Linked DNA regions of Tribolium castaneum. The protein of the gene in region 3 purifies or fractionates together with the protein of the main gene of each other region. This does not show direct contact. Links are inferred from orthologs where the notes say so. Each region holds a gene or a part of one and is shown on either strand. Other genes may lie near its edges.

What was found. Proteins that work in one complex are often made in the same cells at the same time.
Region 1: the proteins of Ran (region 3) and akirin purify together in Homo sapiens (affinity purification with mass spectrometry; 3 studies listed by BioGRID and IntAct, counting the BioPlex papers as one, with this or other methods). This does not show direct contact. The link is inferred for Tribolium castaneum from reciprocal best matches to the Homo sapiens genes RAN and AKIRIN2.
Region 2: the proteins of Ran (region 3) and Nup153 purify together in Homo sapiens (affinity purification with mass spectrometry; 5 studies listed by BioGRID and IntAct, counting the BioPlex papers as one, with this or other methods). This does not show direct contact. The link is inferred for Tribolium castaneum from reciprocal best matches to the Homo sapiens genes RAN and NUP153.

The regions. Positions count from the first base shown.
Region 1 is NC_087398.1:5,661,501-5,665,452, forward strand, and holds the start of akirin (akirin), read right to left. Parts: upstream 2,808-3,952; 5' UTR 2,563-2,807; coding exon 2,370-2,562; intron 1-2,369. UniProt on the Homo sapiens protein: Molecular adapter that acts as a bridge between a variety of multiprotein complexes, and which is involved in embryonic development, immunity, myogenesis and brain development.
Region 2 is NC_087394.1:31,197,836-31,201,894, forward strand, and holds the start of Nup153 (nuclear pore complex protein Nup153), read right to left. Parts: upstream 2,808-4,059; 5' UTR 2,694-2,807; coding exon 2,625-2,693; intron 2,395-2,624; coding exon 1,845-2,394; intron 236-1,844; coding exon 1-235. UniProt on the Homo sapiens protein: Component of the nuclear pore complex (NPC), a complex required for the trafficking across the nuclear envelope. Functions as a scaffolding element in the nuclear phase of the NPC essential for normal nucleocytoplasmic transport of proteins and mRNAs.
Region 3 is NC_087395.1:25,444,939-25,449,022, reverse strand, and holds the start of Ran (GTP-binding nuclear protein Ran), read right to left. Parts: upstream 2,811-4,084; 5' UTR 2,679-2,810; intron 1-2,678. UniProt on the Homo sapiens protein: GTPase involved in nucleocytoplasmic transport, participating both to the import and the export from the nucleus of proteins and RNAs. Switches between a cytoplasmic GDP- and a nuclear GTP-bound state by nucleotide exchange and GTP hydrolysis.

The sequences.
Region 1 (3,952 bases), on a different chromosome or scaffold from region 3:
TGCTTATGACCCACCAGTCACGCAGTGGCACATTTAATTCAATTTACAAAGCCGTAAAATTTTCAGAAAAAACCCTAGAGACACAGCCACAACGTCACTATCCGCGAATCTAGACACAGGTGTCCTTCTAAGTCGGGATGAGCTTTTACCCATCTCTTATCCCTTTACGACCAACTACCATTACCAAGTGCTTCGAAAAATTACCAGATTACGGGCAGTAAAAGCATCCTAAACCCAAACTCTCAAATAATGCTGATAAGATAAATGGGAATATTTTTCCAGGAAGTCAGATTTCGGACAAAACATCGAAATCATTGGTCTTTAAATCCAAACAAAACTGTATATGTATTTAATTTTAAAATTTACTAAATTATTACTTATATTTCGTACTATTATTTAAATTTTAAATAAATAAAACAACAAAATGTGTGTTTACAATGGATTTATTTCAACCGTAGCAACTGATATAAAATATAAAGTTCGAAATCCAGTACAATTTAGAAAACAACAAATAGTTTTTTTGAATTTTAAACAATTGTTAGGTTTATGCTCAGCCTAAGACATTATCATACATTCAAAAAACAATATATTAATTAATTACAAAAAAAAACAAGAAAACCATTCCATAACACATTGATTTTCAAACAGCACCTTTATACCTGCGACTTAATATTTTCACAGAAAAGGTCTTTGACATCTCTTTCGTAGTAATGCTTCCTAATAAGCTGACTTTAAGTAGTATAATTCTTGTAAATTTTTACGTTCCCTCCAAAAATGATTCAATTTAAAACTGGTGTTTTCCCCTATCCCCTTATTTTCATATTATGTTCAGATACTTACGCATACACAAAACAATTAACGTATTGTTTATTTGTTTAATCTTTCTTGGCACAAATTATTTTATAACAGTTCAACAACAAAAAAGGTAAATGAATGATGACAATGAAAATACTAATCAAATCGATTAATGTTTCTAATAAAATTATTGTTGTATTTACTTTTGTTTTATTACTAGATTATTTTACCATCCTATATAAAAAATCGAAAAATTGTACGCATCAGCATTTAATAAAGATAATAACTAAATCAGAATCATACTAACAAAAGTGTTAACACAATTTATAACTTCATTTATATGTGATTCAAACAAGATGATAGAAAAATTTAATTTGTAACTGTGTTACAAATTAAATTTTGTTCAAGCATGTCTGAAACGAGCTTTACGAGCTGATACAAAATATGAGGTCAATATATTTTGTTTTCAAGAGAACATGTATAAGCTTTAATGACTTCATTAAAAAAGCTTTTAAGCACGCTCTAACATAAAACAGGTAATGAAAATAAATTTTATTAAAAAAATGGTACAACATTCTTTCTACAGAGACTTTTTTTAACTCTAAAAATAGTCACCATGTTACCAATAATACGAAAAATAATAATTATTTGATGTCAAGTTGTTTGAAGTTTATTTTAGTGAAAAGATAATCCTTTGTAATCCGGCATTTCCCCTAAAAAAATATAAATTGCTTTTGCTTTGAAAAGAACCGAATTGTTATTTGTTTCTTGCCAGTGGTGGCGCAACTCCTGGGGGTAGGAGGTAGTGAATCAAAAAAATACGTTCGTCAAAAAAAAACTAAAACTATGCAAAAATAAAGGTTAATAAATGTCCAGTGTTTAAAAATAATCAGTTTTTAAAGATACTAATCTTAACTGAGGGCTGAAAAGATAATCCTTTGTGATCTGGCATTTCTCTTAAAAAAATATACTCGTACCACCAATTTCGTTATTTAGTGAAATTTGTCGGCTCAAAAAAAGTGGAAATAGAATGACAAAAAAATACGTGCGTTTTTAACGTGGCTCACAATCTAGGAAGTCATGTTGGTACAAGCTCAACTTAAGTTTTATCTTCAAGCTTCTAAATATCACAATAAAATCTTAAGTATCTTTCATTATTACAGTTAGCTATGAAAAAATTATGACTCAAATCATGGAAGATTTATGTATTCCTCGATCGGTCATGAAATTTCCCATAAAACTCTAATCGAATCCAGGCATCCAAAGCGTGAGAGCCTGTAAGCCCCAATTATAAAATTTAATGTCCTCGCTCCCCTCCGCTCCAAAATCAATATACCCGCACCCAGATTTGGTTAAATCGGCAAAAATAACCTAAAAACGTTGAGATAACACGAGCGGATAACCTCAATTTCTAAAATCACGATGCTCCAACGAATTCGAGCAAGATAAGCAATTAACACGGAATTAAAATCGGTCCTGTAAAAAGTCCCTCGGACGTCATTCCTTTATCGGCGATCAGCTGAGACCGAGTGTCAACAACCGCAAAGGCCCTTAGGCCGGCCCTGTCCACTTACCAGGGGTCAATTTTTGGCTGACGACATCGGGAAAGACGGACTTGGGCTTGGGGGAGGAGGAGGTGGCCGGAGGCGAAGCCCTGTCTCTGTGCGTGGGGCTCTCGCAGAAGGGAATGCAGCGCCTGCGTTTGGCCGGACGGCCCCCCAGCACGGGCTCCCAATCCAAGGAACGTTTCAGAGTAGCGCACGCCATTTTTAGTTCTGTCGCTAACACTTCACACACAAAACAAACTTTGTTTCACAGGCTATCGCGAATTTGCTATGTACAAAACCGAAATTGCACTTGGACACTTATGCAGCGGTACTTTTACCCCGAAACTTGTCCATGAAAGGGGAATGGTCGACGATTTCATGCGCACCCAACGACCAATATGGCGAAACGAAATAAGAGAAGTGACATTTTGTGAACGGCAGAGTGGGCTGTGATGAATATACGGTTACCATTGGCTTGCGCGACTCTGCGCATGCTTTGTACCCTGGCGACATCTCCCGGGACCAAAGATCTTCGCGTTTTTTCAAAATTAATTGGGCTAATTTAAAGGCAATTACGCAAATTTCCGTCTAACAACGGCTAAAACGAATGTATCATGAAATCGCTTGCTACCTTATGCCATTTTTAGGCACGTTACTGTTGCTTTTGCTTTGAAAAGAACCGAATTGTTACTTGTTTCTTGCCAGTGGTGGCGCAACACCTGGGGGTAGGGGGTAGTGAATCAAAAAAGTGCGTTCGGCAAAAAAAAAACTATGCAAAAATAAAGTCCAGTGTTTAAAAATAATCAGTTTTTAAAGATACTAATCTTAACTGAGGGCTGAAAGAAAGCAAATCCGTGTAATATAGACATTTTTTTATTAAATACTTTTTATCCAAATATGATACCAATATGCCTCAACAATAAAATCACATAATCTTAAATCTTAACATAAAATATACTATCCAATTTATATATTATACTTAGCTCTTAATAATATTTGGCATATATATTAAAATGTACAGAGCTGATATTTTGTATAGCATAGGACTTTGCCAGATTCCTACAACAAACCAAGCTAAATATTATTGTCAAAGAAAAACCGGTGACGGAACCAAAAACCGTTCGCACACGTCTGTGTGCAGTGTGTTTCAAACGTAAGAGGCACGGAATAAACAACAATGTGAGTGGTTCATTTAAAAACTGTCTAATCTGCACAAAACCCTGTTCAACACGAACACAGCTCAAAAGCGTATTAAGATATCATAAGTCGTAGTTCTACAACATCCTTGCTTTTAGTCGACCCCATTGTACCGTTCAACTGAACACTTACGATTACTAGAATTTAGAAATTTTAACAAGAAATCACAAGTATATTATCTCCCTTAAAAACTAGCAACGGCTGAAGCGCGTCCAGGATTTTTTAACATATCACAGCTAGCGCCAGAAACAAGTCAAACAATGATACGTTTTGATAATTGACTTGCGACGAGTATTTTCATGATTTCGAGCGAGAAAGAAACAATATTCAACACTGGGCTAAGGGTCACATTTAGACATCGCCACTTAATTCTAAACCGATATTAGAAGAAATCCTGAACGACTTCGAGTCAC
Region 2 (4,059 bases), on a different chromosome or scaffold from region 3:
GAATTCGTTTCTTCGCTAATTTTACCTAACCTACGTCCGTATGCAGAGGCGCCGCCATAAATTGTATTGCCGCTATAGAAAGGTGAGCTCAATATTCTCTTGGTAGACAATGTTCTGTCAATAAAGTTCGGCGAGCCGAAAGTCGATGCGTTAAACGATGGCCGTCTTGAACTCAAAGAAGTGTTCATGTTGGGGCTTCTTTCCGAGAATAAAGTACGTCCGCTTGATTCGTTTGCTAAAAAACGAATTGATTGTTTCAATTTTTTAATTAATAAGCCTAAAGAAAACACAAAACCGATAATATTCATAAAAACACATGATTTATAAGGAGTGTGGCACAATTTAAATAACTATTTGAAGTATAATGTCCATACTTTTGCCAACTCTTGAATATTTTTTTATAAAAAGTACTCAAAATTGTATATTTTCAATCCTGAAAATAGCAAAAATAAGCAAAAATACTCCAAGTCTGCATTTGAAGCCGGAATAATACTCATGGATTTTTTCATTGTATTATAATTTCCATTATCAAGCTCGACCGGTTCAAATTTTGGCAAAGATGATTCATCAAGAATTAAATCATAGACTTAGAACATGACTAAGATTTTATTTCCCCTTTTCCGAGTACACAATATGAAAAGCAAATTATGTAAAGACTGGTGTTTCGCTAAACTGTATTTTTTTTAATAACAAAAAATAAAAAAATCACGTTTCCTCTTCCCCATTTTTTTAAAACAATCTTTACTCGACCTACTGTCGGCAACAAACGATTATTTTTTACGTTTTCATTAATTCCAGTGAAAAAATATCAGACTCAGTGAAAAACTGAATAGACGCGATTTGTGACATATTGTCCAGATTTAAACTATTTAAATCTTCTTGTTAAAGCAATTTTATTATAGAACCTGATATTCTAATAAGTGTATAATTTTTTATAACGCTAATTTTTGAAATTCACCCAAGAAGGTAGAAGAAAGAGTTTTTTAGGTTTCTGAATTTAATTATAAAAAGGACAACAAAGTGCTCATAATAGTGAATTAATAAATGGTAAAAATAGATAAAAGTCAAGACAAGCTCAAAAATGACGAGCCGGAATTTCAAGAATTTAAAAAAAAAGGTAAAAATGTAAAACAAAATTTATTAACAATACGAGAACAGTGACTAATTTACTTGTTGCTCGTCACGTAGGTATAATGAAAGTGATGACATTTTTGTGTGTACAGCGATGCTGTACTTTAACCTAGAGGTCAAATATTATAAAAGAAAACAAAACAAGGAAATTACTAGTTCCATTAATAACCATAACAAGTTTATTATATCGGTACGTATTTTAACCTTATTTCATACAATTATCAATATCTCATTAGAAGCCTATAAACAGATCAGATAGTTTATTTTACCTTTATTGCATAAATACAATTTTTACTAGACTTTGACCTCATACCCAAACAACTTATGTTCGTCATAAGAGTCTTGCAGATACTGGCAATGATATAAATGTAAGAGGTCTTTTACAGACTTTAGCTAACAGCAATGAGCGTAAACATTTTTCTTACTTTGGTAACTGGAGACCTGCTTTTTGTATACAAAAGCATGAAAGTTGCTGATAAGAGAAAAACTTTAATTTAATCATTTGTGGTATTATCAGTTTCTTATGGTTTTAAACGGATCGTATTTATGAGTTTTGATAATTTGTAATTTCATATTGTGCATTTTTCTGGCATGAGTCACAATACTAAAAGTATAATAAAGTATTCCTGAGACAATTATGTACCCAACGGTTGCCAAAGTTAAGAAAACACTGCAAAAAAACTAAAAACAAACATTATGTAACGTAAACTTACATGAAGTAAACAAGGACCTAGTTTTAGGAGTGACTTTTTCACATGTTTCCTTGTGAGATATTTCTGCACTTTTGGGTTGATTAAGCAATTTGGGTGCCGAAGAATAGCCACTAGTTGATTCTTCACTGTCAGAGTCATTCTCACCGTTAACAATTTCTTGATTTTCGAACGAATTGGTAGAGACCGTATTTGTGCTAGCAGAACGGTGTCTGTCGAACAATTTGCGGGATTTAACCCCCGACGGCCCCGCCACCGGTTCAGGAAACTTCCCAAACACTTTCGACGAAACATTGTTAACATTATTGGAAGCATTATGCACAGTCACTGGCGATTCAAATATATGTGCACTGTAATTGTTGTGTTCCACTTCAGACGGTAGTTTCACACGTTTGCTTGGTGGCTGGAAAACGTAGGAGGCATCAAAGTCGTCGTCGTCGTCGTCGTCGTCGTCCTCCCGCCTCTTGACCGACTTGGACGCCGAGTCTTTGCCGAACCACTTGGACAAGGGGGTGCTGTTGAAAAGCCCCGACACGAACTTGCCCACGAACGACTGCAAGACAAATTCAAAATAGGACCTGTTAGCTACCTTACACGTCAAGGTTAAATAAATAAATGCGAGAAACTAAGGTTAAAAACGCGTGCTGGTGGCACTGCCAGGTTGCATGGAGGTGCTGGGGCGACTTTTGGGCAGTGTAAAGACACTATTTCGTGAGAAACTTTTATAGCTATATTTAGAGGTGAGAACGCGCGAATATGTGCAAAGAACGCATTTTATCAAACCTTATCCAATCCTGCATCTTTCGAGTTGTCTGGACTGTTTTCGGCACCTTCATTATTATTATTTGCCATAATTACAATTGTTCTTAGTCTATTTTACACAAATAAAGTAATTTTGGAAAATCACACATTTCTATGACAACTTTCACCACACGAGGATCCAATATGGCGGACTCCAAGTGTGAAGTTAGCCGCTTTTTGCGCGCGCTCCCCCTCGAAGAACACGAAGTTGGCGCTTTAGGAACAAAGCTCTCCCGCTGATTTTTCAAAATTTTGAATTCAATCATTAAATTAATTTTGTTAATTTACTTGAAGTTTTTGAACAAAATAACAACAAATATTTAAAATTTTAATAAAAATGTTTATTACCCTTAAAAATACAACCATATTTTTTGCCAAATATCTTTTATAAAAAATTACAAATTTTTAAAAAATCAAAAAAATACATGCAATTTGATTTAATGTGAATAACTTTTACAGTTTTCAAACGTATAAATAGTACCTCAAAAAAATTTAATATTGAAATTTTTTCAAGGCGGCAACTGCCAAAACACAAGTGTTTAGTGCGGTTGCCTATCACAAATATTTATTAATAAATTCATTATCAAATTTTACTGCTATTTTTATACCTGCCGCGATAAAAAACATATTTCTTCCTTTAACATACTATTATTAAGATAATGTTAAATACTGTTTAATACACAAAAAAAAATTAACGTGTCGGCAATATTTAAAATTAACAATTCAATTTTTTTTAAATCTCAAGTAAAATTTTCTTGAAATCGAAAATTCATCAAGCTGGCAGGTTTAGGTACATTTCAATAGTCGTATTTGTGTTGTTTCTCACTATGAAATAAAAAATGCATTTTTTAATTTTGTGGCAAATTTATTGAAGAAAAAAATCAGAAAATAAAAGGTGGCTGCAGTACTTCCTACTGAGAGTTTGATTTACTGTATTCACTATAGTGAGTAGAGTAACAATTAACAACGAAATTGTTTATCTAAACAATCACATCAATAGAAATTCCAAATTATCCTTGCCTTTTTATGTAATGAACTTTCCCAAAAAATCAATGATACGTACGTATTTAAACACAGAAAATAATGTCTGCAATAATTGTAAAAATATTAGACATTCATTCTTGGCAATTCATTCCCTGTATTTCCCGGACATTATTAGTAAATCCATATGAAGCAAGTTCCTTCAATGTCTATAGATTAGTTTATATAACATGAATATTCAGCATTTTACAATATATGTTGCTGATGATTTAAAGTGGATTAGGGATCTTCGTTGACCGAGTTTTTACATGGTCAGTCATATGTGACAGGAGACAGAAATTTACTTCAGCATGAAAACATACCAAAATTAGGTATACCATTTTCGTAACCAATATTTTTTAAACTAATAATAATGTTAATGGTTTTATCAAAAAAA
Region 3 (4,084 bases):
ACCTTGATTTAGAAGAATCTACTAAAAAATTTCTATAAATTTTAACTTAAAAATGTGCTCAAATGCCTAAAGAAGACAATTATTTATGAAAATCTGGTTCTGTCACCTTAAATACCATGAACTAAGCTTACAATTTTAATAACTTCTAATTTGGAAAACTTGCTGAAATTAATGAGGCAATTAAATTATTAGGTGAGCTCGTCTTAAAAAATTCCGAAATATCAAAAAGTTCTGATCGTTCTCACACCAAACGCATGTACCTATAAATAATGTTACTTTTAATTAAATTAAAGTCAAAATTGCAATAAAAATTTTATTATTTTTACATTAGCAAAATTAAAAAAACTGAGTTTTTAGTTCATAAAAAGCAAAAAGTAATCGTTTTCCATCTAATTTTCTAATTTTTCGGTTCGGTTTAGCAAAACCTTGTGGAAAAAGGGCTTCAGGGCTCGAAAAGAGCAACAGTTCATAAAATTTTAGTACCTTCTGTTGTTTTATGACTTTACCAATCAACAAGCCTCTTCTGCTTCGAGTCCTTTCGTTTCTCAAATTGTGATTACAAAAAAAAAATCGGTTTAAAGCGAGATTTGAAGATTAATATGTTTTCAAAAAAGATCTCTCGAAAGTATTTAGTCCCATCTTTGTGAGCACACATTTTCGTACAATTGAATAAGATTTTTTTCCATACTGTTGTCGCTCTCGTGGGGGTCTGTTTGGGGCAAACAAGGGCGCGTGTCCACCCCTGTCGCAATGAAACGAGTAGGCCGTCCATCTCCGCTAATACATTTACCGATATAAAATAACAAGAAGCCGTCACATTGTGACGCGACCATGTGTTAGAGGAGGTGACGTCCTCTCCGGCGGCGGGTCTCGTTCCGCCCCCCACAGCTGCATCGCGCCCCGTGCCACACAGTGCACCGGAAGCACCCTCGGAAGTTGCTTCGTTCAAACAAAAAAAAATCGCAATTTTTCCGAAAAGTTTTATAAAATCAGAGCCGTCTTATTGTTCACGTGGTGGTCGAGATGTTGGCCATCTTGGCGCTGGCGGCCTGATTATAGTGATAAAAGAGCGAGCCGGGTCTTGATTTGGCCCCCAAAGGCAGAAACTTTTATTTCTTTGACAATGTATATCATGAGGCAGCGACTCATTACTTTTATGGCGAATTAGGCTTGGCAGCGGCCCAAGGGCCCCCGTCCAATGAACATGTTTTGCAAAGAATGGGCTTTTTTGAAATGCTGGCTCGTAAAATGACAGAATAACGTTTGCAGTTTCCTGTCGGCGAGGCTAAGAGTAACGCAATACTTTATTATATCGACGACGACACAGAGGACCAAAAGCTACGACATTCCGGATGTGGCGAATGCTATTGTAGGTGAAGCTTTTGTGCACTTCACTTGCAACAATTGCGGTTTCCTGAATAACCTGTGAGCTTTCCGATCGCTTTGATGTCTTCATACGGTAATTGTGCGATTCGATGCTCATTCTATGCTCCGGGACCCAAATGGAAATCAACTGCTCCGGAATACGTAATTCTATACTATTTCTAAGACGCATTTACTCGCAAACAAACAAATTTTCGCAATTTTCTACTTGGCGCAAACACACAAGGTGGGCAATAGCAAAATCAACAATTCAGTGGAACGCGGTCATAACGAACACCCAAAGAACAATTTTCAAGTTAAAGGAGTTCCAAAGTTTGGAATAGATACAGGAAATAAAGTATAAATAGACTTATTAAAAAATATTACATATTATGATAATAAGGCAAATAAGTCCGATAAGTCCGAGTTTAGAGTTTGGTCGAAAATGACCAGAAATTTACCTTTCCTAGGCGTTTATTCAGCAATAACTCAATTATAAATAACAGAATTATGTCAAAAATGACGAGTTCTGAAAGTTTAAGCACGTTTTTAGAGCAAAAATCAAGGTTTTCTTCATGTTTTTCTTAAACTAAAGTGAAAAAATCACCAAATTTGGTCGGAAATCAGCAAAATTTTACCTTTTCTAAGCGTTTATTCAGCAAAAACTCAATAATTGCGCAAAATTTCTTAAAAAGTAAACCAATAAATCACAGAATTATGTAAAAAATGACATTATTTTTACAAGTTCTGAAAATTTAAACACATTTTTAGACCAAAAATCAAAATTTCCTTTCGTTTTTTATCAAAGTGGAACGAAAAAATCACCAGATTTGGTCGAAAATGACCAAGATTTTATCTTTCCTAAGCGTTTATTCAGCAAAAACTTCATTATTGTGCAAAATTTCTCAATAAATCAAAGACTTATGTCAAAAATGACATTATTTTTGCAAGTTCTGAGAATTTTAACATGTTTTTAGACCAAAAATCAAGGTTTTCTTCCTGTTTTTATTAAAGTGGAACGAAAAAATCACCAGATTTGGTCGAAAATGGCCAAGATTTTACCTTTCCTATGCGTTAATTCAGCAACAACTCAATCAAGTGTGTTATGAATGGGTTCGTTATAAACGGACGCCACTGTATTTTTGCCTAAATATTGGACGTTAAAAGTGATGTTTGTTTGTTCGTTAAAACCGAACCAGTTTGTTACTACAATAGGTATAGGACTTTAAAACGGGACTTATAATTTTGTTTGTTATATCCGAGCGTCTGTTAAAAGCCGGGTTCATTATAACTAATTTTTTTTGAGTTTCACTCACCAAAGCACACACAGCGAAGGACCAGAGACTCAGTAAACACGAAATTTTGGCACAAAACACACTTTTTCACCTCAAATTTGCATTTTTGTCCCACTTTTCACACAAACAAATAATTGCAAATGTCAAGTTGTCAAATTTGCATTTGGGGATTTTTTATTTAAAACAAAAAACGATCGAACGTCGATCAGGAACAAATTTAATTAATTCATTAATAAAAAATATATTTTGTCTTAAGAGTTCTTCGTAGGTCTTACCCAACTTTGTCCAAATATTTTTTTTTACAATTCCGTAGAGATTTAATGAGAAAATAATTAATTAGTTGAGGGGTTGAAAGTGTCCTTGGGAATTTTGCATTTAAACAATTGAGTAACACCTGCTTGGGGGGGAGCTACAGATATTTTATAATCAGGTTTTTTTTTAATTAGTAATCAATAATTAGTGAATGATTCGTTTGGGAAAATGTGCTAACAAATCAAAATTTTATTTTTTTGCCCACCTTTTAGCCGGGCGTCGAACCTAAAAAAAGATCGCTTATCTGTCAAAATATAGGTTACCGGTGATTGTGTAGTGTTGTGAGTTTTTCTGATTCTTTAACAAAAACACTTTTAGACCTTATCGAGGTGAGTAGTGCGAGTGTATGAATGGATCGGTGTAAAAAAAATTCCGATTAATGGCTTTGTCTTGCGGTAAAAAACGACAGAATGGCTTTGAGGTTATGCAACTTTCACGTGTTTTTTGGGCCGATCGGGTTCATGTCTCGCTGTTGTTTTGCTTATTTGGGGATTAGATGACAAAAAAGTTTGTTTTGCGTAATGTTTAGTCGCGTTTTTGCGGGAATTATGTTTTTGTGGGTTAAATCGTGTGTGGGTCCTTGTCGCCACCTGGCGGTGGTTTGCGTGATGACGGGTCGCGGCGTTTTCGAATTTGGTTGAAATTTGAGACGGTTCTTGTTTTAGTAAAAAATTGATTAAATCAGCGAAATTTCGAAATTATAACGGCGGATTTAAGGGCCTGGGGCGCTGTGTGGCAAATTACATTAATATGAAAGTAGGAATTGATGGTAAATTCGAAATTGTAGCCTATGGAACGGTGAGCTTATTATTATGTAGTGCTTTTTTAAAAATGCTGAACGCTCTGCAAAGTCCCTAAGTTACAATTTCGGTATCAGATTGAAAATTGCTATTTTGTGCAAATTAAGTTGCAGTCGGTGATGTGTGTTATTATTTGAACGCATAACCGACGATTTGCATATCGGAAAATGGACGAAAAAGGCGCAGAATGCCAACTCGTGACCTTATCTAAAAGGTGGTTTAATTCGGTCTTGTTGCTCGTGTTGCAGATCATGCCACCTAAAAAGGTACAAGAGCCGGAGAGAAAGCCGCTCATAGGGCGGGTGGGCACCAACT